Saccharomyces cerevisiae S288C: one gene and its partners. The protein of the gene in region 4 interacts with the protein of the main gene of each other region in a biochemical or structural test. Each region holds a gene or a part of one and is shown on either strand. Other genes may lie near its edges.

Evidence for each region.
Region 1: the proteins of CPR6 (region 4) and SBA1 form a complex in vitro, tested with the Saccharomyces cerevisiae proteins (one study listed by BioGRID).
Region 2: the proteins of CPR6 (region 4) and RPD3 form a complex in vitro, tested with the Saccharomyces cerevisiae proteins (one study listed by BioGRID).
Region 3: the proteins of CPR6 (region 4) and HSP82 form a complex in vitro, tested with the Saccharomyces cerevisiae proteins (7 studies listed by BioGRID).

What each region holds. Positions count from the first base shown.
Region 1 is NC_001143.9:215,942-223,863, reverse strand, and holds SBA1 (Hsp90 cochaperone SBA1), read right to left. Parts: upstream 3,541-7,922; coding exon 2,890-3,540; downstream 1-2,889. Other genes in the region: DNA-(apurinic or apyrimidinic site) lyase APN1, read left to right, coding at 1-512; serine/threonine protein kinase PRR1, read left to right, coding at 964-2,520; VPH2 (Vph2p), read left to right, coding at 4,647-5,294; OAC1 (Oac1p), read right to left, coding at 5,546-6,520; DGR2 (Dgr2p), read right to left, coding at 7,164-7,922. UniProt on the Saccharomyces cerevisiae protein: Acts as a co-chaperone.
Region 2 is NC_001146.8:16,034-24,712, forward strand, and holds RPD3 (histone deacetylase RPD3), read right to left. Parts: upstream 3,270-8,679; coding exon 1,968-3,269; downstream 1-1,967. Other genes in the region: AAD14 (putative aryl-alcohol dehydrogenase), read right to left, coding at 85-1,215; PEX6 (AAA family ATPase peroxin 6), read right to left, coding at 3,508-6,600; MDJ2 (Mdj2p), read right to left, coding at 6,801-7,241; EGT2 (Egt2p), read left to right, coding at 8,015-8,679. UniProt on the Saccharomyces cerevisiae protein: Catalytic component of the RPD3 histone deacetylase (HDAC) complexes RPD3C(L) and RPD3C(S) responsible for the deacetylation of lysine residues on the N-terminal part of the core histones (H2A, H2B, H3 and H4).
Region 3 is NC_001148.4:95,996-100,389, forward strand, and holds HSP82 (Hsp90 family chaperone HSP82), read right to left. Parts: upstream 2,631-4,394; coding exon 501-2,630; downstream 1-500. Other genes in the region: GTPase-activating protein CIN2, read right to left, coding at 1-158, 239-263; YAR1 (Yar1p), read left to right, coding at 3,489-4,091. UniProt on the Saccharomyces cerevisiae protein: Molecular chaperone that promotes the maturation, structural maintenance and proper regulation of specific target proteins involved in cell cycle control and signal transduction. Undergoes a functional cycle that is linked to its ATPase activity.
Region 4 is NC_001144.5:569,431-577,690, forward strand, and holds CPR6 (peptidylprolyl isomerase CPR6), read right to left. Parts: upstream 3,782-8,260; coding exon 2,666-3,781; downstream 1-2,665. Other genes in the region: FRE1 (ferric/cupric-chelate reductase), read left to right, coding at 1-1,197; cell proliferation protein CDC123, read right to left, coding at 1,346-2,428; COA4 (Coa4p), read right to left, coding at 4,036-4,488; MSC3 (Msc3p), read left to right, coding at 4,721-6,907; CCC1 (Ccc1p), read left to right, coding at 7,395-8,260. UniProt on the Saccharomyces cerevisiae protein: PPIases accelerate the folding of proteins. It catalyzes the cis-trans isomerization of proline imidic peptide bonds in oligopeptides.

The DNA of each region.
Region 1 (7,922 bases), on a different chromosome or scaffold from region 4:
CAGCAGGCTACGATATCAGCACCACTGAAACGTTTAACAATTTTTGGAAAGAGTTCAATGATGTAATAGGGTTCAAATATCTAAGTGCTGTTCACTTAAATGATTCCAAGGCTCCTTTAGGAGCAAATAGAGATTTGCATGAACGCTTGGGTCAAGGTTATTTGGGTATAGATGTGTTTAGAATGATCGCGCACTCTGAATACCTGCAGGGTATCCCTATTGTCTTGGAAACTCCATACGAAAATGATGAAGGCTATGGTAATGAAATCAAACTTATGGAGTGGTTGGAATCAAAGAGTGAGAGCGAATTGTTAGAAGACAAGGAGTATAAAGAAAAAAATGATACGCTGCAGAAATTAGGTGCTAAATCGCGTAAGGAACAGTTAGACAAGTTTGAGGTTAAACAAAAGAAGCGAGCTGGGGGCACCAAGAGGAAGAAAGCCACTGCAGAGCCAAGCGATAATGATATCTTGTCACAAATGACAAAGAAGAGGAAGACTAAGAAAGAATAATGAGAAGCGAGAAGAATTTTAAATACGTAATCAATTTTTGTAGATTATCTCAACGTACGTAACTAAATGCTACCCTTCGTCATCCAAGATGCTGTTGCCCATTTCATAGAAACTACTTACTTGGTTTATAGATGTTTCGCGTTGCGTTACAGAATAAGGCAGCCTTTTTTTTTTTTAGATTTTCATTTTTCACATACTGATGGATTAGCAGACGAAAAGGGTAAAGTTAAATACATTCCAGTAAATGAACTAAGAAGGCTGAGCACACCATCCTCTTATGGAACGTTATTCCTAAGCATAGAAAGTTTTTTACTTGTAATCTTCAACGCGGGGTGTGTTCTTTATCTTTTTTTTCTTTTTTACACAATTAGACAAGTATATTTTGAGATAGTAATCACATCTACGCTTCGAATTCATCCATACCCACAGCAGCTGTTAGGTTATACCGACAATGGATGAATATAGTAGTATATATTCACAACCAAAGACTCCTCGGTTGAAACAAGAAGGATTTCCCGACTCCATTGGCGATCAACACGAAAAGGCATTGATTGATGAAAATGGTGAGGAAGATAAAAAAATGGCATCCACTGAAGGGACCACTGGTGATTCTCGCAGTACACCTTTGACTGTATCTATTCCGACGTTTGAAAATGTCCAAGCATTACCTACACCGATGACCTACACTCCGTTATCCCCAGGCAATCTGTCAATGTCACCTATAGATCAATCCTCGTTGAATATACCCAAAAGACGAAGTCATGCACGATTACTGGATGATATGCTTTCTGTTACACAACCAAACCAAAGAGTTGTTTCTGAACTTATTGCACCAGCTAATTTATCCCCCCAAAGGGTTGTTTCCTTACCAACAGTGACTGAAGAGGCTTTAGTAAATGATTCTGTTGATAGTGATAACTACACGAAAGAACCTTATTTTCCCGAAAGTAGTAGTTCTACCGAAAAGTGTGACGATGATATATTTCAGGGATTTCTTTTAGATCACTGGGATCGCCCGTTATTATGGAAAAAGGTCAGGCCCATTGGTTCAGGAAATTTTAGTACCGTACTTTTATATGAACTCATGGACCAAAGCAATCCTAAACTGAAACAAGTGGCCGTTAAACGACTCAAATATCCCGAGGAATTATCAAATGTTGAACAAATCAATACATCGTTACGATATAAGGAAACTTTATCCCGTTTGGAAAATTCTCTGACTAGGGAATTGCAGGTGCTAAAATCACTAAATCACCCATGTATAGTTAAACTACTTGGGATAAACAATCCAATTTTTGTTACTAGCAAAAAACCTTTATGCGATTTGATTATAAAAACTCCAAGAGCTCTGCCGCCTTGTGATATGATTATGTCTTATTGTCCTGCAGGAGACTTATTAGCTGCCGTCATGGCCCGTAACGGAAGACTAGAAGCGTGGCTGATTCAAAGGATTTTTACGGAAGTAGTACTGGCAGTAAAATATTTGCACGAAAACAGTATTATTCATCGGGACCTAAAATTAGAGAATATACTACTGAAATATAGTTTTGATGATATCAACAGTTTTAGGGACTCACCCATTTACTGCAAGCAAAATTTCATTGAGCTAGCAGATTTTGGTCTCTGCAAAAAAATTGAGAACAATGAGATGTGTACAGCAAGATGTGGATCAGAGGATTATGTCTCACCAGAAATCCTGATGGGAGTTCCCTACGATGGCCATTTAAGCGACACGTGGGCCTTAGGTGTCATACTATACAGCTTGTTTGAGGACAGATTACCATTTGACCCTCCTCCAAACGCTTCAGCAAGACAGCGTAGCAGAGCTACGTCACATCGTATTGCCAGGTTTGATTGGAGATGGTACCGGTTAAGCGATTATAAAACTAATGTGGGAAAACAGATTGTGGAAAATACGCTAACGAGGAAGAACCAACGTTGGTCGATTAATGAAATTTACGAATCCCCCTTCGTTAAAACGATCGCTGATACTCTAAGTTTTTCTTGAAATTTCCCACGGATGGGAGTTACTTTCGTTTTCTTTCTTATTGCTTACACCTGATAATCATCCAGCATATAGAAATTGTTCTTTAAATATCACATACAGTTCCATTACTTGACATTTGCAACATAATATTTCTGCTTTTTTCTCTATTTTGCATCCAATATAGCTTCTATCTGCTTACTACTGTCTTTTTGACAATGTACAATATATATCTAAGATAGTTACGAATAAAAATATTTTTATTAATTCCATAATATTTAATTACATAGAGGCAGCCAATAACAAACAGGTAAAGAGTTGTGTAAAGTGCATATATTCGTCTTTTATTCTAAGTTACTCATTCTAGCACTCCAGGTTGATTTGCTCCTCCTTTTAAGCTTTCACTTCCGGCTCTATTTCCTCTTCTTCATCTTCTTCATCGTTTTCTTTGAAATCTCCCATGTCCAAATTACCACCGCTTTGAGCCAATAATTGCTGCAATTGAGCCATATCTGGAGAACCAGCGCCACCAGCACCTCCCATCATTTGGCTGAAGTCCATGCCTCCAGCACCTCCAGCACCTCCAGCACCTCCCATCATTTGGCTGAAATCCATTCCTTGAGCGGCATCATTACCTTCAGCTTCAACTTCGTCTTGTTCATCTTCATCAACCCATTTATCGAAATCAGTTTTGATGTAAGGGTACTTCACCTTTTCCTTTGTCAAACGTGGCCAGTATTCAGATTCTAAATCCTTTTTATACAATTTCAAAAAGTAGTGCTGGCCATTAGCAACCTTATGCATTGTTTTTTCAGGTATAATTTCCTTGTATAGATCAATGTGTAATTGATAATGATGGACATTTTCATCGCCAACATGAGGCTTTGATTGAGCCTTTAATTCGATGTATGATGGCTTAATGGTTAACTCAGGGGCATCACAGTCTGCAATTGACACAGTTATTAAGACATAATTTCTTTCTGGATCAGTAGTACTAGACCTTTGAGCCCATGCAACTTGAGGGTTAATAACTTTATCGGACATGACTATTATGAATCGATGATCTTGGGAACTTGTTGTTGTAATGAATTGAGTCCACTAGGTTTCTCGAACAAGTTAATACATTGCCACCCATTTCGTCTTTTTATGCTTTTTTCCATGCTAATTCTTGCCGCTCCTCTCCGCCCCTTCAAAAACACTCGGAAGGCGGGTAGCATTAAAAGTCGAACAGTTTGTTGGTAACTTTTGTAGGTATATGTGTACCAATAACCACAAATTAAGTATTGATTATCACAGTCAACCTCTTTGTATATCAAAAATTATACTCTGTATTCATAAAAGGCAGTTATTTTAAAAGCAAGTAACGGCAGGAAAAAAATTATTAATAAGTATAAAAAGATTGGACGAGTCCGGAATCGAACCGGAGACCTCTCCCATGCTAAGGGAGCGCGCTACCGACTACGCCACACGCCCTATTTACTGTTAGTGTATTTCCACTTAGATTACTATAACAAGCTCTTTTAAACAATAAAACAGTTCTATAACAACCGATTTACGAAATTCTTCTGAGTAAATGAGGTCACAAATGAACTTTCTTTAACTTCCTCTTTGTCTCCATTCGTTTTTCCATGCTTTTTTTGTTTCTGTCGAAATGAAATCCTTGTATCATCTATTGGCTAGTATTCGTCTTCCTAGAATATTATCACAGCGGTGTAAGATGATGACATAGAGATTGGGAAACAGTTATCGGTCTTAATGGAAGCTGAAATGCAAGGATTGATAACGTGATAGGGTAATGAATGGCAAAGTATAGAAGAAAAGAAGTTAGAGTAATATTATCATGTAGAAAGACCGATTCCATTTTGAGGTTTCCTATACCCTCGAGGGGAACTTTTAGGATATTCTGTGTATCTCATACTATAGTCTTTAACTATGATTGAATCCGAACAATTATATTGTTCACGAAATACTCAGTTTTACAAAAATCTTGTGTATTTAACTGACTCAAAGTAGACATGACGGACGTGTGAATATTTAAAATGAGAAACGAGGAAGCGAAAATAAAGCAAATCTCACATGAAAACGCTGAAAGAAATGAAGAAAAGGTAAGATAGGATAATTGACGATTGGCATCACATAAAAGAACTCTAATGTTCGAAATTAAACTGAATGATAGAATAACTGAATTTCTGCGAAAGTTCAAGAATAGCGCGAAATCAAACGAAGGAATTGATGAGGACATTGATTTGTTCCTGAAGCGACACGCAATACCTATGCAGTCACTTCTTTTTTATGTGAAAGAGTATAGAAAAGACAGTGATCTCCAATGCTCTATCAAAGAACTTTTGAAACCTTTGGAGTTCGAATTCAAGCCCAAGGCCGTCAGAGGTTTACACTATTCAGAGGATTTCAAGAAAAAATTAGAGTTTTTGAAATATCAGGAACAAGAACTTGAATATCAAAGTATGGTCAAGAGAAGCAAGTCTGTCTTTTCACTTCAAGAAGACGATGAACTCACGCCTTCACAAATTAATAAACAGATTAAGGAACAAGTTACCACTGTTTTCAACGTTCTTGTAAGTGTCATATCGGTTGTTGTGGCCATTTGGTACTGGACCGGATCTTCAACAAACTTTCCGGTCCATGTTCGTCTTTTGTTGTGCTTGTTCTTTGGAATATTGGTCTTAGTAGCAGATGTGGTTGTGTATAACAGCTATCTGAAAAAACTCGAAGAAGCAAAAGTAAAAGAAAAAACAAAGGTTGAGAAAAAGAAAGTTCTAAGCAAGATTACACTGTAACTGATCATTTTATAAATAAGAACTCCGAGATCCGAGAGCATATAATTCTTGGAACTGGACAATTGTGAATAATGTTCTGTATGTTTATAATTACGTTTATAAAACTATCGTGTATGAATGTGAAATAAAAAATGCTCTATTATCCTTAATGCTACATAATATGAAGAAAAAGGTTGTAATGAAACCATTAGTAAAGTAGAACTGTCCTGGCCAATGAATGAAACTTCAAACCTCGGAGTTTGTTATGGGAATTAATTATGGCCTAAAACTCTCGACTCTATCGAATAAACTAGTTTCATTGTCTGTTCCATGAAGGTCAAACACATGATTGTATGAGGTGCGATTCTGAACACTTGAGCTGCAAAACCCTTATACAAAGCGGTTACACCTTCGATTCTAACAGTTTTGACCAAACAATCTATAGGTCCCTTGTACAAGTCACCTTTTTGATTATAGATTCTTGTCAAAATGACATCCCATGGGTTCATAACGACGGCAACACCTAACCCAGAGATAGTACTAGCAGTTAAATGTAATGCTGGGCCATCTTTCATCAGATCATTTTTGACCAAAATGTTCTTTGCTGTGTTGTAGATAGGTAGTTGAACAGAGGAACCAGCACCTGTCCTTAAAATTGCCGCATCAATACCTCTGAATAGACCCTTAACACCTTCGGTTTTAAAAATGGTTACTAACCCGTTCCAAACACCGGTGTAGTGCGTTTGTTCACCAATTTTTATAAACTCGGAATATGATTGAAGTCTTGTTTTCACCAAGAATAATGGAGAGCCAATGACTGCACCAATTATACCAGATGCGGCACCAGAAAAGACGTTAACTCCGACGCTCTGTACCTTATGTGGCTCTTGATCTGGGAAGAAAAGCTGATTTAATGATGATCTGATTGGCTCATAAAACCCTAATCTGGAACCATTTAGCCCAATTTGATAGATATAAGCAGCATTTAACCCTTTTTGCAGACCTTTTATACCTTCGTTTTTGAAAATTACCGCCATACCTTGGATTGGATTTTTATAAACTTTTGCAGCTGATGCTGACATTTCACCTTGAAGCTGCATTCTGATTTTAATCAATTCGATCGGATTAGTAACTGTAACAGCTATACATGCTGCTAGCCCACCAGCCACAAACGAACCAAACTTCGATATCTTCTGGGCGGCTGTTTTTTCAATTTGTTTATCTTGTTTAGAGTTGTCAGATGACATATTTGCTTACGATATAATTCGATGAGATGTGCTTGTGTCTGACTTGCTATAGCAATCTAAGGAAAACTATTTCGGATGGAGTTCTGGAGTGGGGGCATTATGGAAGAAGAAAGTATATCTTAATGTTGCATATAATCACATAGTTTATATATATGCAGTATTTATCATTTGACGACTTAGTCACAGCTTGAAATTTCAGCGGTGCTTAATGTTCGTTTTCTTTTTTTTTTTTTTTTCCGCAACAGAAGGCCGATTCCGCTGTAACTTAATGAGGTATTAAATGCCAGATTCGTTTTCGTGACCTCCTTTAGCATATCGGCAGACCCTGACTCGCAACTGGAATAACACCACATGCGAACAAAAGCATATTTTTGCCCTACTTAATTTGAGAGTGGAAAATCTTTCCTCGATTTCATTTTTCTTATAGCCCAATTGACGTCTCTGTAGGCCCTAATAGACCCCATCGGCCTAAGACCGTTTCCGGCATCTTTCGGGTTGTAGATGGTTCTGTGAGAAAATGTGTCAGTAATGAAAAATAATAAAGATCGCTACAGATATAAATAATAATACTATGTTATTTGCAGACATGCTTATGATCTAAAGACGGTGGAACAGATAGTTTTTCCTCTTACTTTCTGATTCTCTATCTGAAATTATTGAGGATTGTACCACAATCAGCACACGTGAAACCGCTATCACCGCCAGCAATGGGGTTTTTGGAAGCACATTCAAAATTAGATCCATTGCAGACGTCACATTTCAACTTCGGATAAGTGGTAGAAACTCTCGGAATATCATGCGGTCCAAACACCGTGGAGCTCGTACTTTCACTTCTTGACTTTAGGGATATAAAACTTCCATTGGATTTATTAAAGATCGAATTCTTGAAAATAGCACTAGCTCTTGATGGCATGCCGGAAATCACCGGGCTATTATTAGGATGCAGCTCACAAAAATCGTGGCTTGGCCTACTATTGTGCGTGTTAGATGGTGGGGTTGTGCTAAACTCATTATCCTCTGTGGAACTTCTTTCATCCATTCTATTTTCCAATATGCTGTCATTGTTGTGGTTGTTGATTTTACCAGCAGCTTCGAGGTGGAATAAATTGTATTCATGGAACTTTTCTATTATTTTTTTTCGTATTTCCGGTAAGATATCAGTTCTGAAAACACGGATTAGACCTTGACTGTCTGTTGTTATTAGAATGGTTCCAACATTATTCACAACGTTCGATAGGTTTGAGCTGAATCCTCCTGTTTCTGTAACTGGGTGATTAGGTTTGTTATCACATGTTTCCTTAGATTCTGAATAATTTTGGCCCATTTCTTTGAAGTACTGTGAAGTCAGTTCGAAAATCAAATCGTTTGACAAGGACAAATTTTTAATTGCAACGTCGGGAGC
Region 2 (8,679 bases), on a different chromosome or scaffold from region 4:
TCGGTGGATAAGGCAACTGCGTATAATTTGTAGCTTCTTTTCAAAATATAGTAGATGGATATTAACATAAAATAATCACTTTAACTAATTGTCAAAAGCTATCCTGGCAGACATCGATGTGAGGGGTGAAAGCTTCTTGGTTACCGCTGGGTCATCTCCTATTAAACTTTTGGGAAAGCCAACATCAAAAGGAACAATACTTTCCAGGTATTCTATTTGTTCCGGTGTTAATTTAATACTCAAAGCCTCAATGTTCTGCTTGAGATGTTCAATTTTCCTTCCTCCAATCAATGGGAAAACATTTTTCGCTTTAGAGCGAACATAGGCAATAGCGATAGCAGTAACAGACTCTGTTCCATGTTCCTCAGCAATTTTAGTCAATGCTTCGCTGATTTTAACCTCCAATTCTGTTTGTTCGGGGCCACCCACAAAAGTACGCAGACCCTCTCCATTCTTCTTCCGTTCTTCCATTGCTTTTTTACTCTGAAATCTTCCACCTCCCATGACATCCCATGGGGCTAGAGCCATACCAAAATGCCTAGCCATTGGAATAATATCACGCTCAAAGTCCCTGTTCAATACATTCCATTTACCTTGATAGACGCTAAAAGGAGTTTTACCATGAGATGTAGCGTAGTAATTTGCCGCAGAAACAACCCAAGCAGGTGTATCAGATACTCCTAAATATAGGACCTTGCCCTGCTGAACTAAAATATGCAAACTATCCATAACTTCTTCGATTGAACTCATATAATCCCACCAGTGAATGTAAAGTATATCAATCCAATCAGTTTGCAATTTGCGGAGAGAATCCCTCACACTCACATGTAAACTACGCTTGTGATTACCACAGTAGTTGGCACTTTTACCACCACCTACTTCATACTTCTTATAATCTCCGGTAAACTTGGTGGCAATTACAATCTGGTCACGCAGTTTTCTTGATGCCATCCATTCACCTATCCAAATCTCTGACTCTTCATTTTGGTAACTGTTTGCAGTATCAATACAATTACCTCCAGCTTCATAAAAAGCATCAAGAAGTTCAAAGGCCTGTTCCTTATTCATAGAGCCCATAAAGCCTGACCATGCGTCGCCGATTGAAGCTCCTCCCAGAATTAGCGGTGAAACCCTTATGCCGGCAGTTTTAGAAAGAACCCTGAGACGTCCCAATTCGGTAGGTGGTTCAGGTAGAGGTTTAAACAAGTCAGTCATGCTGAATAGTGGTTTTTTATGCAATAGACAATATGTTAAGTAAAATACAAAGCCGTTCAGCTAATTGGTTAGCTAGTTAATGAAGAGAAGAACAGCATGCATCCTTGACTTGGAAATATTGTCATACTTAAATATGGTTGGAAATTTTGCCCCCCGGTTTCCTTGAATACGAACAATGCAACTTATTTGAGTCTTCGTACGAGATCTGCTTACTGGTTTTGTACAGCGCTGAAAGCGAATTTGAAAATATATGCAATTAGAAGAGAGTGAATCAGATGAGGATAGGGTTAATACTGTAAAATTATTACCAAATATTGAATGACATATAAAAGTCGTAGTAACCGAATTTGTTTTTTATTATGAATAAAGACTTCTTGTTTTCGCATACTTCGATGATTTAAGAAATTAAAAGTCATTTACCCAGGCGTGATTATAAATTATATTGGCACCGCTTTATCAACAGCGGTGGGACGAGACGTTTAGATAGTAATTACAATAGAAATACAACTGTTTCAATATTAAAATATCTCTAGTATGTAAATAACACATATAGGCAATTTTCTTCGAAACGTATGGGACGCGGTTGATGTATGAACGGAACGCATCAATTAAAGGTTTGAGAAAAGTCTTTTGCAAAAAAATTGAGTTTGCACTTCTCATACACAATTGGATAGCGTCTTAAGTGCCTTTTATTCACTTTTCTTCTTTTGTTTCACATTATTTATATTCGTATATACTTCCAACTCTTTTTTTCAATAGAATTCATTGTCATGCTCAACATGTAGGTCCCTCGCATATTGCGAACCACCCTTCGTATCTTTAGCCTCGGCAGAATCTTCTTCAACATCACCCAAATCTTCGGCATCCCTAGGTGTGTGATTCAACTGAACACTAGGGGCATACTTTGTGTTTTCCAAATTAGCAAATATATTGGTCATTACCTTGTCAAGATATTCGGGAGTATTTACATTGAACATATTCGAAGGTCTAACACTTAACTTATAATCTGGACCGTAATATTCGTAATATTCATTGTACGGTAAATCTTTATCCAAGACAACGTTATTTAGTAGACCTGTTTCAAAGCACCATGTCCTTGCAACATTTCTCATAGTATAGCCTCCTCCACCAACAACCATCATTGGGATCCCAAAGGATTTCACATAGTTTACACAATTAGCATGGCCTTCCATGGAAAGATTAAAGCAACCAAGACGATCGCCGGACAAGGAGTCCCCACCACACTGTAACACGACAGCAGAAGGTTGATACCATTCCATAATTTTTTTTATCACAGGTTCAAACACAGATCTATACGTAGCATCGTCAATACCGTCTCTTAATGGCACATTGACCGCGTAGTTTTTTCCTGCACCCACCCCTATATCTCTCAGTTCACCTGTGCCAGGGAAAAACTCACCATATTTGTGGAAAGAACATGTCATGACACGATCCGTTGTATAAAACGCTTCCTCTACACCATCACCATGGTGCACATCAATATCAATATACAGAACTCTGGGGTGGTATCGTAGTAGCTCAATAATGCCCAGTACTATGTCATTTAAATAACAAAACCCAGAAGCTTCCGATTTTTTTGCATGATGCAAACCACCCGCATAGTTGACAGCAACATCACATTTGCCTCTATTCAGACGAGCAGCTCCTTCCATAGAGCCACCACCAGATATGCTACAGTACTCATAGAGCCCATCAAAGACAGGACAATCATCTCCGACATTAAACTTGACACTTTCTCTTTTAAACATTTCTAAATTATCTGGAGTAACCCTCGATAAAAAATCAATGTATTCATCAGTATGGAACTGACACATTTCTTGTTTCGTTGCCGGCTTAGCTCTGTAAATTTCCATCTTCTTGTACAAGCCATAATTCATAATAAGGGAATGTGCCATTCTTATTCTATGCGGCTTCATCGGGTGACCTGCTCCATATGCATAGTTCCCAACGTCTGCATCGTAAAAATATGCAACGCGTCTTTTATCGCTTGGCTTGACCGTGATCGGATCAAAAGGTGTTGCTTCATATACCATCTGCACGGATATCGAGTTGTAGCCACGAATGTTTTGTATGGCGCAATTGTTTTATGAACCTTTATGGTTATTACTTCAAATTTTTATTATGTATAATCAACTACTAGTATCTTTTCTGTTTTTCCCTTTCGATAGATACTATGAGCCGGGGAGGGTAAGTAAATAAAAAGATAAATTTCAAGGCAAAATATGGGACATATATTTACAAATTTACCTATACGCTCTGAGTTGATATTACTTAAGCACCTTCAAAATTAGCTCTCACCGCTTCATAATGATTCAGTTCAGCCCGCGACACACTTGGGGTGAGCTGCTCTTGTGCTTTCAAGAAGTCTTCCATTTTTACGACAACCTTAGTATCCTCTTTTGTCGCAATCTTATCAAACCAGCGACGTGTAGAAATATTCTCTCCCGTCAATTCGTTATGCTGAGAAACTTTTTTTTCTACCATGCGTGCAATTCTTGACATGGCGTTAAGCATTGCATCTGAGCAGAGAGCATAAAAATCTGCCCCGGTGTAATTAAATGGACATAGCTTTGCCAACTCAATAAGCTTTACGTCGTTGTCGAGCACGAATTTGCGAGTCAGAGCCTCTAAAATATTCAATTGTTTGGTATCCGTATCCGGAATGCCTAAATATAACAATTTATCGAATCGTCCTGGTCTTAGTAGTGCTTCGTCCAATAAGTCTGGTCTGTTTGTTGCTCCGATAACAAATACACCGTCAGCGTCGGTACTCATACCATCTAACTCTGCTAGTAACTGTGAAACGATACGATCCATAACACCACCCGAATCACCTTGATTACCACGTTTGGGTGCTACTGAATCGATTTCATCGAAAAATATGACACAAGGTTTAGCCTCTCTCGCCTTTTGAAACACTCTGCGCACATTAGCTTCACTCTCACCAATGTACATATTCAACAGTTCAGGGCCTTTAACACTAAAAAAATTTAAAGAAAAATTTGTTGCAATGGCCTTAGCCATTAGAGTTTTACCTGTACCCGGTGGACCATAAAAAAGAATACCGCTTCTCTTTTTCATACCTGAGGTAAATAATTCAGGATGTTTTAGCGGCATGTCTATTGTGTCCAATATTTCACCTTTAACAAAATCAATACCACCTATATCATCCCAAGTTACGTTAGGGATTTGTGGGGCACCAATCGAAACCGAGAATTCGTTCCTAGCTTTCGAAGTAGCTTTTGATAAATCCTCCTGAGTGATCAAAATTGATTGCGGAAGCCATCCACACTTCTTTGATTCTTGGTAAAAACGCGCAGTAGCCGTCATTCGTGCCGTTTCCACAATTGATTTGATGTCTAAAGGAGTTAAACCAGCAGAATATGAAGAGAGTGATGAAAATGAAATATTATCCATGTAAGATACTGGAACCTTTTGTTGAACATCTCTGTTTAGTTCATGTGAAGATAAGTACCACTGAAAGATACGCAGTCTCTGTGCTTCAGACGGAACGGGTACGAGAATCTCAAATCTCATATGTGATCTAAAGCTGGAAGGCACGTTATCTATGTTATTTACGGAGCCAACAAATGTAGTTCCTGGGAATTTAAACGTAAAATCGTCCAGAAGTTTAGACATTTCGAAGTTTATAGATTTTTGTAATTTGATTGCCTCTGGATCTTGATTAGCGTTTACGTCAAGCAAAATTGAATCCAAATGAGCCAAAAAAATCACAGCAGGTGATGCGTACGGTAGGACATTTTCACATTTAGCCCTAATGTAACCAATAATCTTAGATGTTGAATCCAGTTGTCTTGAATTTGAAGTGAGCGAAAGGCAATCTATCTCCAGTAGATGTATACCAAGATATTTTGAAGCAAATCTCACCATTGTAGCCTTGCCCACATTGTTTGTAGTGGAATGAAGTAACACAGAGGCATTTAGGGTGATTCCCCTTTGAGAACAATTGAAGGAAGTTTCTAATATGTTAACCAATTGTCTTACATAGGGGAAGATATGCAAATCATAGTAAAAAGTTTCAGCAAAACCGTAATATCTCTGAAGATTGGATCTACTCAAGGGTAATGGTCTTCTGTTAGTGATATTAGTTGTTATTAGCTTCGTCCGATTGGGATCAATAATAAAATGAGAATTATCTTTAGAGAAGCAATCGAGCTCTGCGCTTGTGACAAAGAACCATACAAGGGAATCGTTCTTGTAGTACTGCCCTAGCTCATCTTCGTCATCAGACTCATCATTTTCCTCTGCTATATTGAGATCAGCCATACTTGAATCAAAAGCGATTGGGATTAAATCATTTTGACAAAGAATCCTTTTGCTCTCGCTAAAAAACTTTTTCAAGGTTGTTAGAATAATATTTTGAAAGCATTTCTGAGATTGAAGCCAGCCTCCAACTCTTGAGATGAAAACTTGATTAGCAATGGGAATATCTGTATGGCCTATATTGGACTTTGATATTGTCACGACGCTGCAGTCTGGAAAGCTTGCTATTATTTTGGGAGGTGCGTATATTGTTCTTTTTTTAAAGCCGTTGGGGAGTAGTAAAACAAACAGCTTAACTAGCCTGACGCAACCCATATTTGACACTGTTATAAACGATCCACTTGTGACATCCAGGCGCAGTAGAGTTTCAGCGTCTGTAAAGGCATATATTGAATTATCATCATTGATGTGAGGTGCAGGTCGCAAAAGATCTCTTGAAATTGTGCAGGGGAGAGATTCAAGATCAATTGATAAAGCAGAATTTGTCCCTATTTTAGGTAATGCATATTCTTCATCTTCGTTAGCATATTTTAGAGCACTTAGTTTCTGCTCAGTATCATTTACTAATATCAATTGGGTTTCTGTAAAATCAACAAGGCCCTGCGGGAAAGGTGAGCAGTTTAAAATTTGGCAAAGACCAGATGTTAAAATATCTCGAGAATGAACCACGGTTTCCATGGAGTTGATGTTATATTTGTAATGCAAAAATTGTATTTGTTGCATCTCTTGCGGTAGGTCCATTAGTTTTGAGTACAATTGTTCATTAATCAGAAACGTTACGCTATCCAGTACAGGTACTACATTGTCTAATATGGGTTCAAAATAGCAAAAATCCATAGTGGGCTGTGTCGGCATAAACCCAAAAAGTTTGGAAGGTACAACAATGCTACAGAAGGGCAGTGAATCATCCAGGACACAATGTACAATTTTACCAGGCGTGCAACCTGGACCGTACTGAGGCAATCTAATTGTCCCATATAAACATTCAGCTTTTTTATCGCCGTATTCGAGATATATATCCCTAGAAATGCTACAGGGGGCGTATATTCCGGAGAGACTAAACGTAAGCGATGCCTTCATATTAATGTTACTATAATCGCTTTCTTTTGGAGGGTATGCAAACACATATATGCTCTCCACTACTGTTCTTTGTTCTAATTCTAATGACTTGTTTGAAAGTCTCCGATGGCCGCACTTTCCCGGAAGTGTTGACGATTATCGCCGTATACTATGTGGTGTAAGGAAGTGTAGCAATTGGCTACATGATATATAAAGTTCTTTTATCTCTTTCTTAGTAAAACACTTCTTTCGAGAACTTCTTTCGCCTCATTTATCTTGGCCGCCATGTAGGGACTCCCTCCTCTGTCTGGGTGGTTACGAACCATAGCCTTCCTGTGCTTTTTTTTCAGTAATTTTTCATCCAAGTGATTAATCTCTCTGGCGGAGATATCCAAGATGAGCAAGGCTTCGGGCTCTGTCATTCGCGGTGCAAAGCCTCCCTGGTACTGGTTTAATCTATTTTTCAGTTCTTCGTCTATCAGTGAGCTTTTGAACTTAAGTGCATCGCGGTAGCCCGCCGTCGGGTTTTCTATGCGAATGTTATTTAGTTTTGCAATAGTTAAAGGGGACAGGGTCTTGTAGACGGTCCATGCATTGAGACCAGACTTGACACTTAGAGCAACCATTGTCACGCCCAAACCAATTATTATAGGCAAAACCATGCTGGAATATCCTATTCTTTGTGGCTATACTGTGTATTGAGTGGATCCTAGCAACGAATTCGTTTGTTGTTATTTTTTTCTAGATTGTATCTCCGTTTCCGAAATTGTTATTCACAATGAGCGTTTACCTCTTGCAATAACAATAATCAGAGAATAAGCTACAAGACGAAAAATGACGTTGAGCGTGGCAGTAATGCCATAACGAAGATCAATAGTGTATGGGATGTTGGATATGTCGTTTCCCTGCCAAAGAAAAAGAAACACAAAAAAGAAAAAGCAAAAAAAAACAGTGCTAAGGATTTGATATTAAACGAAGTCCCACCATGGAGGATCATATCCCAATAAATTTATGCATAGAATGGTACCATTCACAACTAATATAGCCTCTGCTGGTTCCTTTAGTAACCTCTTTAGTAACCTCTTTAGTGAAATGGTTCTTGCTGGCTCTATTATTTTCCTAATTCGGACGCGCTGGCTCCGCGCCGTGAGGAAAAACAGCAGGCTGACAAGGGACTAATTTACTGACACTTTCGGCTGACACTTCCGAAAAGGTACTCAAGCTTTTATGAGTAAGATGCTGGTTTGATGCTAAGAATACGATTTAGTACTTCCTTTTTAATGTGGCTTGTTTTTTTTTTATTCGTCCATAACAGTACAAATATAAAAGCAGAATACATTCTTGCCGACCTAAAACTTGTGTCCTTAGACTCAAACTTTCTGATGGTTTTCTTTCAGTAGAATCAACATAAACAAGCATAATATAAAACACTACAATGAATAAACTATTGTTACATCTAGTACGAGTCATTTCGATACTCGGCCTAGCAAACGCTCTCACACAAACGCAACCGATTTTAAAAGATATTCAAATAACAGATAGTTATACCAAAACAAAAGAATGTACGGATCCAGATCATTGGTTCATAATAGAAGGGCAACTGTCTATTCCAAAGGGAAGTCAGCAAAATATAACATTCCAAGTACCAGATGCTTTCAGCTCATTCCCTCAAGAACCCTTCAGCATAAAACATAATTCTAACAGTGTTGCCACGATATCACGCCCAGATAAATCGACGAACAATTTCACCATTTCTATTCCAGAAAAGAGTTCAGAAGATATAACTACTACATTTAACTTCCTTGCACAGCTTACATCAGATGCTAAATCCAAAGTTACAGAACCAAAAAGCATCGTTTACAGTTTCTATTCAGAAAATACTATGTTTAATGACGTTATTGATTACGTCGCTAAAAATACTTCTGCTATAACAACAGATGGTGGTATATACAAAACTAATAATACCGCCTGGTTTACCGTTGACTTACCAATGAGAACGTTCAGAAATCCCGTTTATTTGACTTCTCAGACATCTTCCTCCTCAGATTACGTATTCGATACTTCGTTAACTAAGTTTGAGGTTGTCACTGCCGTTGATTC
Region 3 (4,394 bases), on a different chromosome or scaffold from region 4:
ATTAATAGATTTTAATACATTTTCTATATCATTGGAGAAGTGTTCTTTTTCATAAGATGTCAAAGAATGTGACAGAGTATTCAGCTCACTTCGAAGACTTATGGTCTTCTTCTGCAAGGTCTTATAGTCACTCGTCTCTGAGAGTTCTCGTTCGAGCTCTACACAAAAAAATAGTATACGAAAATATGCAATGTTAATTAGTTGGACGCATAATGAAAGCAGATGAGTTTCAACATACCCTTTATCTTCGCAGTAAAGTCCATTTATGCTTAAGCTATTTCAGTTATATTCTTAAGTATATTTCACGATTTCAGATTCTTCGCGTTTTGTATGACACACTAGACGCGTCGGAATAGTGAAAACTCTAAAAAAATACATTGTAATGTTTTACCCAGTTATTTCCATGCAGATGCCCTATTTACATACTTATTTATTCATTCGAATACCTATACGTTATATTATGTTTTGTTTATAACCTATTCAAGGCCATGATGTTCTACCTAATCTACCTCTTCCATTTCGGTGTCAGCTGGAACCTCTTCAACCGGAGCTGCGGTGGATGCTTCTGGAGCAGTCTCTGTTTCTTCATCCTCATCAATGTTCAAACCCAAAGAGATCAATCTGTTAATTCTTGATGCAAAGGAAGTTGGTTCGTCCAAACTGAAGCCGGAAGTCAACAAAGCAGTTTCATATAATAACTTAGTCAAGTCCTTGACAGTCTTGTCTTGAGCACCACCTTCGTCAACTCTCTTTTTCAATTCCTTGATAATTGGAGATTTTGGAGAAATTTCGAAAGTCTTCTTGGAAGACATGTAGGAGGACATGGAAGAGTCTCTCAAGGCTTGAGCCTTCATGATTCTTTCCATGTTAGCAGACCAACCAAATTGACCAGTTCTGATAGCAGCTGGGGCATCCAACAATTTGTAAGAAACAACAACTTTCTCCACTTGGTCACCCAAAATTTCTTTCAAGGCCTTGGTCAATGGTTCATATTCTTTGATCTCCTTCTCTCTTTCAGCTTTTTCTTCGTCAGTTTCTTCCAATTCGAAATCTTTAGTAATGTCAACCAAAGTTTTACCTTCGAATTCCTTCAATTGAGTGAAGGCGTATTCATCAATTGGGTCGGTCAAGAACAAAACCTCGAAGTTTTTAGCCTTCAAGGCATCCAAAAATGGAGACTTTTCGACAGCCTTTAGAGATTCACCAGTGATGTAGTAGATGTTCTTTTGGTGTTCTGGCATTCTGGTAACGTAATCAGTTAAGGAAGTCAACTCATCTACGGACTTGGTAGAGTTGTAACGTAACAACTTAGCCAAAGCAGCCCTGTTTTGGGTATCTTCATGTACACCCAACTTGATATTTTTGGAGAAAGCCGAGTAGAACTTTTCAAATTGTTCAGAGTCTTCAGCAATTTCGTTGAAGGCTTCAATCAACTTTTTGACAATGTTCTTTCTAATAACCTTCATGATCTTATTTTGTTGTAACATTTCTCTGGACAAATTCAATGGTAAATCCTCAGAGTCAACAACACCCTTGACGAAAGATAACCACTCTGGAATCAAGTCTTCAGCTTCATCAGTGATGAAAACACGACGAACGTACAACTTGATATTATTCTTCTTCTTTTTACTCTCAAACAAGTCGAATGGTGCTCTCTTTGGAATGAATAAGATAGCTCTAAATTCCAATTGACCTTCAACGGAGAAATGCTTAACGTACAATGGGTCTTCCCAGTCGTTTGAAATAGACTTATAGAAAGCATTGTATTCTTCTTGAGTGATATCAGATGGGTTTCTAGTCCACAAAGGCTTAGTCTTGTTTAGTTCTTCTATCTCTTGAACTTCTTCTTTAACTTTTTTCGTCTTTGGCTTCTTTTCCTCTTCTTCATCGACTTCTTCCAATTTTGGTTTCTTGTCGTCTTCATCCTTCTTTTCCTCATCCTTCTTTTCCTCGTCTTTCTTTTCTTCTTCTGGAATTGGAACTTCCTTTTCAACTTCCTTGGTGACGACTAATTGGATTGGGTAGGCCACGAACTCAGAATGTCTCTTGATAACTTCCTTTATTCTCTTTTCTTCCAAGTACTCCAATTGGTCATCTTTCAAGAATAACCTCAAGATGGTACCCCTACCAATTCTTTCATTAACTTCGTCTAGAGTAACAGTGAAAGAACCACCAGCGTTGGATTCCCAGATGTATTGTTCGTCGTCGTTGCTCTTTGAAATAACCTGAACTCTGTCGGCAACTAAGAATAAAGAGTAAAAACCAACACCGAATTGACCAATCATGGATACATCGGCACCAGCAGATAGAGCTTCCATGAAGGCTTTGGTACCAGACTTGGCAATGGTACCCAAGTTATTAATCAATTCAGCCTTGGTCATACCAATACCAGAATCTCTGATTTCCAAAACTTTTTGCTCTGGCTTTGGAGTGATTCTAATAAAGAGATCTGGTTCTGTTTCCAATTGCTTTGGATCAGACAAAGATTTGTATCTAATTTTATCCAACGCATCCGAGGCATTAGATATCAGTTCTCTCAAGAAAATTTCCTTGTTAGAATAGACGGTGTTGATGATCAAACTCATCAACTGAGTAATTTCAGCTTGAAATTCAAAAGTTTCACTAGCCATATCTTTGCGTGTTTGTTTGTGCTTTTGTTTATAGGACTCTATTTTCTATCAGGTATGATTTCTTGAACTCTAATACAGCGGGAAGAAATGAGGAGGTCACAGATGTTAAGAATTGAAGGGATAAGCTGCATATTTATATGTTTTAGGGGGTGGCGGAAGGACCTGGTTGGTATTAAGATGAGAATTAACCGCTCATAAAACCATGCGCGTGTTTTTCTTCCACGGCGTTCTAGAAAAAAAAGAAAAATTCAAAAAGTTCTGCGAAACTCGAAAGAACCAGAATTGTTCGAACAATATGTGACAAGCGTATGAGTTAATAATCCGATTAAGCTTTATTCCTGTTCTTTTTTACGTGTATGTAAAACTGGTTTATGGATTACTGTGTTGAGAGAGGGGGGGTGACACCCTCCGGAATGTGATATATCACACGCTTGCACGTTGGTTCATATCGTAACCACGAAGAATACAAATACGCACACGCAAGCTAAGTTATATTTTAAAATATTCTGTCATCAAGCTTCCAAATACTTCTAACCATCTCTTATTCTCCTCTTAGTAGCCATTCTTTGCCACGAGGAATAAAAAGTCCCGCGCCACTAATTACAGGAAAAGAAAAATAGGACAATTCCATTTGATGTCACCGTGGTAATATCACCATGAACGATGATATGAAATTTTCATAGAATAAGAAGGAAAAGTAATAAAAGAAAAAGAGAATCTGAGAAAAAATCGATGAGTTAATTATCATTTGTGTAAAACAAAAACGAATTGTAATACGATAGGCAAAATTGTTCGCGCTCTATCTCAAAGAAAGTAATTATTTCCAAATAGAAAAAAAAAATCTACATATACGCAGATATGGGCCTACACAGTGAACCGTTAGATCAAGAGGACCAAGACACCATAATACTCGATGCAAGAGCTGGCGATTTGGATTCTCTGAAAGATATATTTACAACTTTAGTCAGTCCCGAGTTACTTTCGACTTGTAAGGAAAGTGAATCTGATTCTACGGCTTTACATATGGCTGCTGCCAACGGTCATATAGAGACCGTTCGGTATATACTGGAGACGGTTTCTCGCGCAAATAGTGCCGAAGACTTGAAAGCTTTTGTTAATGAGGTGAACAAAACAGGCAACACGGCTTTACATTGGGCGTCGTTGAATGGCAAATTAGACGTGGTCAAGCTACTGTGTGATGAATATGAGGCAGACCCCTTTATTAGAAACAAATTCGGCCACGATGCTATCTTTGAGGCCGAGAACAGCGGGAAGGAAGAAGTGGAAACATACTTTTTGAAGAAGTATGATGTCGAACCTGAAGATGATGAAGAAGACACACAAACTGAGGGCAAGAATTCGGTCCAAATCACAAAGGGTACAGAAATTGAACAAGTCACCAAGGAAGCCACCGAGGCTTTAAGAGAAGAAACCGAGAAACTGAATATAAATAAAGACTAAAGTAAAGAGCTTGTTTTCTTCGTGGAATAAAAGCCGTAATATCCATTGAGCATGATATTTTATTTCTTGGTACCGGAGAAGATAAAAGGATGGAACCAGCAGAAATGCATTAATAAATACAAAAAATTTAGAAAAGAGTTACAGTAATAATGTATATTTCTCTCACAAACTAAGTAACCGCTTCAAAAGCGTATATTTTGAATGCATTGAACTTTCCATTTCATTACCCGCAGAGCCGGAGTCCTCATCAACGACGGAGTGAAAAATTTTGTAATTGCGAGAAAAAGTGAAATTGATGGAAAA
Region 4 (8,260 bases):
ACATTTAATTTCTATCATAAATGGTCTGCCTACGTTTGTTTCATGTTGGCCGTTGTACACTCAATTGTCATGACCGCCTCGGGAGTGAAAAGAGGTGTGTTTCAAAGTCTGGTTAGGAAATTTTACTTTAGGTGGGGTATAGTGGCAACGATATTAATGTCTATTATTATTTTCCAAAGTGAAAAAGTATTTAGAAATAGAGGGTATGAGATATTCCTTCTTATTCATAAAGCGATGAATATTATGTTCATTATTGCCATGTACTACCATTGTCACACCCTGGGCTGGATGGGTTGGATTTGGTCAATGGCTGGTATTTTATGCTTTGATAGATTCTGCAGGATTGTTAGAATAATCATGAATGGTGGCTTGAAAACTGCTACTTTGAGTACCACTGATGATTCTAATGTTATTAAAATTTCAGTAAAAAAACCAAAGTTTTTCAAGTACCAAGTAGGAGCTTTCGCATACATGTATTTCTTATCACCAAAAAGTGCATGGTTCTATAGTTTCCAATCACATCCATTTACAGTATTATCGGAACGACACCGTGATCCAAACAATCCAGATCAATTGACGATGTACGTAAAGGCAAATAAAGGTATCACTCGAGTTTTGTTATCGAAAGTTCTAAGTGCTCCAAATCATACTGTTGATTGTAAAATATTCCTTGAAGGCCCATATGGTGTAACGGTTCCACATATCGCTAAGCTAAAAAGAAATCTGGTAGGTGTAGCCGCTGGTTTGGGTGTTGCGGCTATTTATCCGCACTTTGTCGAATGTTTACGGTTACCATCTACTGATCAACTTCAGCATAAATTTTACTGGATTGTTAATGACCTATCCCATTTGAAATGGTTTGAAAATGAATTGCAATGGTTAAAGGAGAAAAGTTGTGAAGTCTCAGTCATATATACTGGTTCCAGTGTTGAGGACACAAATTCAGATGAGAGTACAAAAGGTTTTGATGATAAAGAAGAAAGCGAAATCACTGTTGAATGTCTCAATAAAAGACCTGATTTGAAAGAACTAGTGCGCTCGGAAATAAAACTCTCAGAACTAGAGAATAATAATATTACCTTTTATTCCTGCGGGCCAGCAACGTTTAACGACGATTTTAGAAATGCAGTGGTCCAAGGTATAGACTCTTCCTTGAAGATTGACGTTGAACTAGAAGAAGAAAGTTTTACATGGTAAGGCCCCTTGTTAATAATTCTTGCACGCATACTTTTGTTATTTTGTTGCTTTATCGGATAAAAGTTAATATAAATCGATGTAAATAATTTTATATAATCATACAACAGGGTAATAAAAAGACGAATATATTCAAATGCGGGTTCTAAATCTAAGTTTCATTCTCACTATCACTGCTTTCTTCCTTTGCCTGTTGAGAGAGTAGTTCTTTCCATTTTTGAGTGAGCTCTCGGATTGCTTCAGGATTTAAACTAGCTTCTACGAGATCCTGTGGAACATGATTTTCGGAGTGCTCTTTTGAAGCGAATCTCCCCGTGTTATGCCTCGTCACTAACCTTAATTCATAATCTTCAACATCATTCTTCGGAGGTGCTATCGCAGCAATCTCGTTCCATGAAAATAGCAAAGAATCTGTCTTCCTGGCAAACGGATTTATATCAACAATGAAGATTTTATTGAAAGGTCTTGGAATATAAACGTCAAGAACGAAACTTTTATCAGGAAACTTGGGCAGGACGACATCATGAACTATTTCATCAATAAGGTCCTTGAAGGTATCTGACAACTCATCTAAATAGTCATAATAATTTAAATCACGCTGGGTGGCCCCAACGATATGCGCATTCTTAACGAAGACCCTAAATTCGAGTGCCGGATTCATATCACACCATTGTCTAAGTACCAAGTCAAATTTCAATCCTTTTATATCATCCCCGTCCACGCAGCCTTTAAATGCTCTTTGAAGGTCATGCATTATGTAATTGGATGCGTTCAACAATAGGTAAAGCTCATTTACCTCGTTACACTTCATAGTGTTATTCGGCAAAATCCAGGTAGCGTCTCTTGGTGCAGACCAGTTTAACTTGGGAGCCACTGCACCTAATTCGTTCAAAGCATCCTTTAATTTCTGGTGTAATTCTGGAAAATCTATCAATGGCTCAACTTCTTGGACAAATTCGGTGGCGGTATCCTCATCGTCCTCCCAATCACTATAGTCATTATCTTCATTTCTTATTATTTCCTCGGTGTACACAGACCTGGAGTTTTCCTCTTGGGGTAGCTTGATACCGTCTTGTTCCAAATATTGAATAAATTTTTTCGGTAAGGATTTTAACACTATGGATTTTGGCACATATTTGGGATACAGTGAGGACCAAAACGAGTAAGAACAGTGTTCAACCTGCGCTCTTGTCACTGGTATATCTATAAAAGTTGTATATTCTTGTGAGGACATCAATAAGTAATTTATGTCAGCGCTTTTTGGACGCACGTTTTAGTTTCACTGGTGGAGTTACGGTATCATTAGCTTCTTAATCTTCCCACTGCATAAATGGACATCGGAAAATATCCGCTTATTATGCCTGAAAAAATAATTTTTTTAACAGAGTTTTCTACGTACTTTTTACTTAACTACTGAGGCAGCGCAACTGTTTAGTATTTAAACATATAAGCATATATATAATGCAAGTAATCAGGAGAACATCTTCGAAAGAGACTTTTTAGCTTTTTCGTTTTGTTGCTTTCTTTTTAATTTAGTATTATGAATAGCTTTCAAAATGGCAGCGTCATTTGGCTGGAAAGTAGTGGCCATTTCTAGGTCATTGAGAGCCATATCTGTGTCATTAACATGGTAATAGGCCAGGCCACGACGGTACAAAGCTTTGGCCTTGGCTTTTTCGTCAGCCGCTTCGGCATATAACACCTCCGATGAGGCTACTAATACTTGCTTGTAATCTTTTAATTTAAGAGCACAGATGGCAATATTCAATGGAATAGACACTTTCAATTGATTGATTTTTTCAATTTGTTCCTTCTCCAAATCTTCTGGGAAATACTCTTTCAAGAATTTATCACATTTGACATATTTTTCTAAAGCCACGGAATAGTTCTGTTTCTTGAACTGTTCAGTACCAATGTTCTTTACCGTTTCGATAGCTTTCAAGACGGTGTCGAAATTCTTCAAGTCAACTTTTTCGTCTTGTTTTAAAACATCTTCATAATTATCGCCGTACTCATCTGTTGGTGTAGCTTCGGCATTCTCTGGCACTTGATAATCGTCAGGTAACACGCCACAGTCATCAATCTTTACATCACGCAATGGCTTGTTGTTTTCTTGGTCACATTGTTGGTTTTCAATCAAACGAACAATTCTTTTACCTTGAATCACTTCACCAAACACAACGTGCTTCCCGTCCAAATGAGGTGTAGGAACACAGGTTATGAAAGCTTGAGATCCATTGGTATTTGGACCGGCGTTGGCCATGGATAGAAGGAATGGTTTATCATGTTTAACAGTGAAATTTTCATCCTCGAATTTTTCATCGTATATGCTCTCACCGCCAGTACCATTAAAATTGGTAAAATCACCAAATTGACACATGAAGTCTTTGATCACTCTGTGGAAAATGGAACCCTTGTACGACAATGGTACATCAGGTTTAGTCTTTGCCATACCAGCATTTCCTTCACACAACTTCAAAAAATTTTCAGCCGTTTTAGGCACTATGTCATTGTACAACTCAAAAACTATACGGCCTTGGGGTTTACCTCCAATAGAAATATCAAAAAAAGTTTTAGGTCTAGTCATTTTTACTCCTTGATCGCCTGAATATTGTCTTACCAGTTTTCTATGTGATGTGAGCGCATCAGCACCTCTGATATTCGACTTATTTAAATAATTTTCTGTCTGAACTTTCTCCAGCTAGGGCGGAAAAATATTCTAGAAGCTCATAGAAATGCCGTTCAAAAGCGTAACAGTTATGTTCTATAAAGGGAAACAATGTGTTTCGATCACTGCAGCTGTCTATTATATACAAGTTATACATCACGACATTTAGATTTTCATTTCTTCTTTTCCGAATCCTTACTGGTCGTCCCATCCACGTCCACTGTGCTTACGCGCTCTCTATTACCATTCTTTTCCCAACACTTCCTAAATAACGCCATCTCGTTGAAGCACTGCCTCCAGTCACCTGTTTCGGCATGGCACAGCTGTAATGCGAGGTTCTCTACGTAGCATCCGGTCTTGGATATTCTCGTGTCCCACACATCCGGGTCTTCGTCTTCTTGGACCTCTTTGTATTCTTCCAGCGCCTGCTTATAATACTCTGAAGTTTCGCCAGTTTCACTCATGACCAGTCTGCCAGTTTTAGCCTGCCAGAGCTTTTCTTTCCCTTTAATCTTCCCTTGTTTGGCGCAACTCTTAGAAGTGCCTTTCACTACCTTTAATGGCTGAGGCCCCTTTTTTTGTTTCGGACATTTGTTGTGAGAAAAAAAAGAAGAAAATAAAAGCATAAATGAAGCGAATGGATGAGAAGAGGGGAGGGAAAGCAAGAACGAGAAGGACAAACATCAGGGACCCATACTTCAATAAATTGCTTGATTTGGTGTTAATCAATTCTTCTAACATCAAACCTCTTTTAGTTTCCTTCGATCGTTTCACGTTGCTTATATTGATTGCTTTTTACTTCTATTTTTTCACTAGAATAAACAAACAAAGACATTCTGTTGATCAAGAAAGTTGAAAATGGTATTTGGTTTTACAAAGAGGGACAGGAGGGTACCTGATTTATCTAGGTATGATTACTACTATCAGAACCATGAAGATTATAACAAAAGTCCTCAGCTCTCTGCTGCTGCTGCCTCTGCTGCTTCTGCCGCATCACCGGATCGAACCAATTACTCAAGGTCGCACTCGCTGGTTAGTCATGCACCTTCAATACCGAGACAAAGAAGTTCGGTAAAGAGCCCAGGAAGAAGGCTTTCCACATCCTCTGCCGCTCCGCCAACGTCCAGGGCAGCAGCTAAGCAGTATTCACAGAAGACTTACTCGTTGAGGTCGCAAAGGAGCGGAGAGTACCATTTACACCCGCCCGGTTATACTACTAATGGGAGCCGTATGAATTCTATGACGTCTGGTGCGAATGTCAGAAGAAACTACGGTAAGAACAAATCGACGGCCGGCAACAATAACGATTCAAGGGCCAACTCCATTACCGTAAAGACTACACAAGTAACAGACCCTTCAGGAAGGACTCAATCAATTACCAAAAAGACAATAAGAAAAATAAATGGGTATGAATACGTAGAAACCACGACTACGACTAAGAATTTGGTTCCATTAGGTGACTCGCAGCGTCATTTCGATGAATTTAGTGAAAATTACATGTTGCAAGATGACGACATTTTAGAGGAACAAGCTAGTGATAACATTCACGATATAATCGAGGAAAACGAAACAGATAACGAAAAGCCATATTCCCCAGTAAGCGAAAGTCATTTACAAGATGATTCAGAGCTAAACGTGGAAAAACCAGATTTCCCACTTGGATCATATTTCCACCATAAGTATTCTACAGACGTTATGCCTCTAGAAGAAGAAAGTAGTTTATCAAACTTCAGTGACGCATTAGATTATATTCCTCCCACCCATCAGACCAGTAGTAAATATATTCATAATAAAAGGAAGCAAGCATCGACGACAAGAAGGAAGAAAAGACCGCCTGCCGTGAAAAACGCAGAAGCAGAGGCCAAGAAACCATTAACCGAAGCAGAAATGTATCTGAAGGCACTAGAGGTTGCTAAAAGAAACGTTTATCACACGGATGCTGCTTCGGATAACGCATCGGCCCCCCTCGGGAGTAACAAATCCAGGAAAAGTAGGATGGGTCAAAAAATGACCTTGAGAAGCAGTAGTGATTCTCCGACGGCGACTGCTAATCTTGTCAAATCTAATGTCGAGGTTCAACCAAAAAGATTTACAAGTTCCTTCTTCAGCAGAAATACTAAAAGCGCCCCCCATGAAGTGCACAATCACTCTGTGTCTACACATTTTAAATCGAATAAGGCTGTTGACCCAGTTCCAGAGCCTAAAAGTGCAAACACAGGGCTAACAGATAAAGAAATGTATGACCAAGCTTTGAAAATCGCACAAGCGAGGTATTACAACTCACATGGTATTCAACCTGAAGCAGTCGATAATAGCACTACGGCGGCTAAACCTCGTCAGGTCGGCGTTAGCCATCTGGGATCCACTGGGAGCATCCCGCCCAATGAGCAGCACTATTTAGGGGATTCTGAAATTCCAGTCCAAAGCGAAGTGCATGAATACGAGCCCATTCCATTGCAGAAGACAAAAACAACTGGTTCTTCCAAAAATAAGTTCAAAACCATGTTCGATAAAGTGCTGCAATTCTCTCAAGAAAACTACGGCTACCAGCACAAGAAGGAACAAGGCGAACAAACTCCAGTTACTCGTAATGCTGAAGAAAGCTTCCCAGCAGCGTCTATTTCGGAAGGTGTGACAACCGCAAAGCCATCTTCAAACGAAGGTGTGATGACGAATCCAGTAGTTACAGATTCACCTTCACCCCTTCAACAACAAATAGACTCGACTACTGCGTCCTCGAATGGGCAAAGTCAGGGCAATGTACCTACCTCCGCAGTAGCTTCAACAACGAGAACAAGATCACCGGAACTGCAGGATAATCTAAAGTCTTCTTCTTCGCTTTTACAGGACCAAACCCCTCAGCGTCAGGAAGACGCCACGGATCCAACAACATCATCGACGAATGAATTATCTGCCGCTGAGCCAACAATGGTCACTTCGACACATGCCACTAAGACAATACAGGCTCAAACACAAGATCCTCCCACGAAGCACAAGAAGTCCAGTTTCTTCACTAAACTGTTCAAGAAAAAAAGCAGCCGTTAGCAGTTGTTTACTCGAATTTTGCAATCAACCCTAATTTTTGAAGCCTGGTTTTAGATTTATTCTCTTCTTTTTCTTCTTGTGAACTTCAATTACTAATGTAACTTAATTTTTAATATAACTTTTACAGTTTAATAATATTGATTTTTTTCGGTCTGGACCAATCGCGCCGCATTTCTCACTAATATTACTAACATACCCTCTTCTCATTGGCTCGGTACCCCTTTCGTGACCCGCATTTTTTGTTTTCTTTGTTAGCCCGAATGTCTCACAATGAAGATGTAAAATTAAGATTATATATGAAAAATTGATACAAAACAAAATAGTTCAAATAATCAAGTTAAAGCGACATCACTCTCAATTTTTGCTTTTTTTAGGTTTATAGAATAGAAATATAACAGAACGAAGCCTTTAGACTCTTTTTTTTTATTGGTATATTGAACAAAGAAACTTTTTTTTTGTCCTCCCATATCTCGTGCACACAAATATTATGTCCATTGTAGCACTAAAGAACGCAGTGGTGACCCTTATACAGAAAGCGAAAGGTAGTGGTGGAACCTCAGAGTTGGGGGGGTCTGAATCAACTCCCTTGTTGAGGGGTAGTAATAGCAATAGTTCAAGGCATGATAACTTATCCTCATCTAGCTCGGATATTATCTATGGTAGAAATTCAGCGCAGGATCTAGAAAACTCACCGATGTCAGTAGGGAAAGATAATAGGAATGGCGATAACGGTTCGGATAACGAAAAGGCGAACCTAGGGTTCTTCCAATCAGTAGATCCTCGCGTAATTAGCGATTTGATTATCGGGCTAAGCGACGGTTTAACCGTCCCCTTTGCTCTAACAGCTGGTCTATCTTCACTTGGTGATGCGAAATTGGTCATTACCGGTGGCTTTGCTGAGTTGATCTCAGGTGCGATTTCTATGGGCCTTGGTGGCTATTTGGGAGCGAAGAGTGAATCTGATTATTATCATGCTGAAGTAAAGAAGGAGAAAAGGAAATTTTACGATAACTCCAACCTAATTAACAGAGAAATTGAAGACATTCTGTTAGAGATTAACCCTAATTTCTCGGACGAAACAATCGTTTCGTTCATCAAAGATTTACAAAGAACACCTGAGCTAATGGTTGACTTCATTATCAGGTACGGTAGGGGTCTAGACGAACCTGCCGAGAATAGAGAACTAATCAGTGCAGTCACTATCGGTGGCGGTTATCTACTTGGTGGGCTAGTACCACTAGTGCCATATTTTTTTGTCTCAGATGTGGGCACAGGTCTCATTTATTCTATAATAGTCATGGTTGTAACATTATTCTGGTTTGGTTACGTAAAGACAAAACTATCCATGGGTAG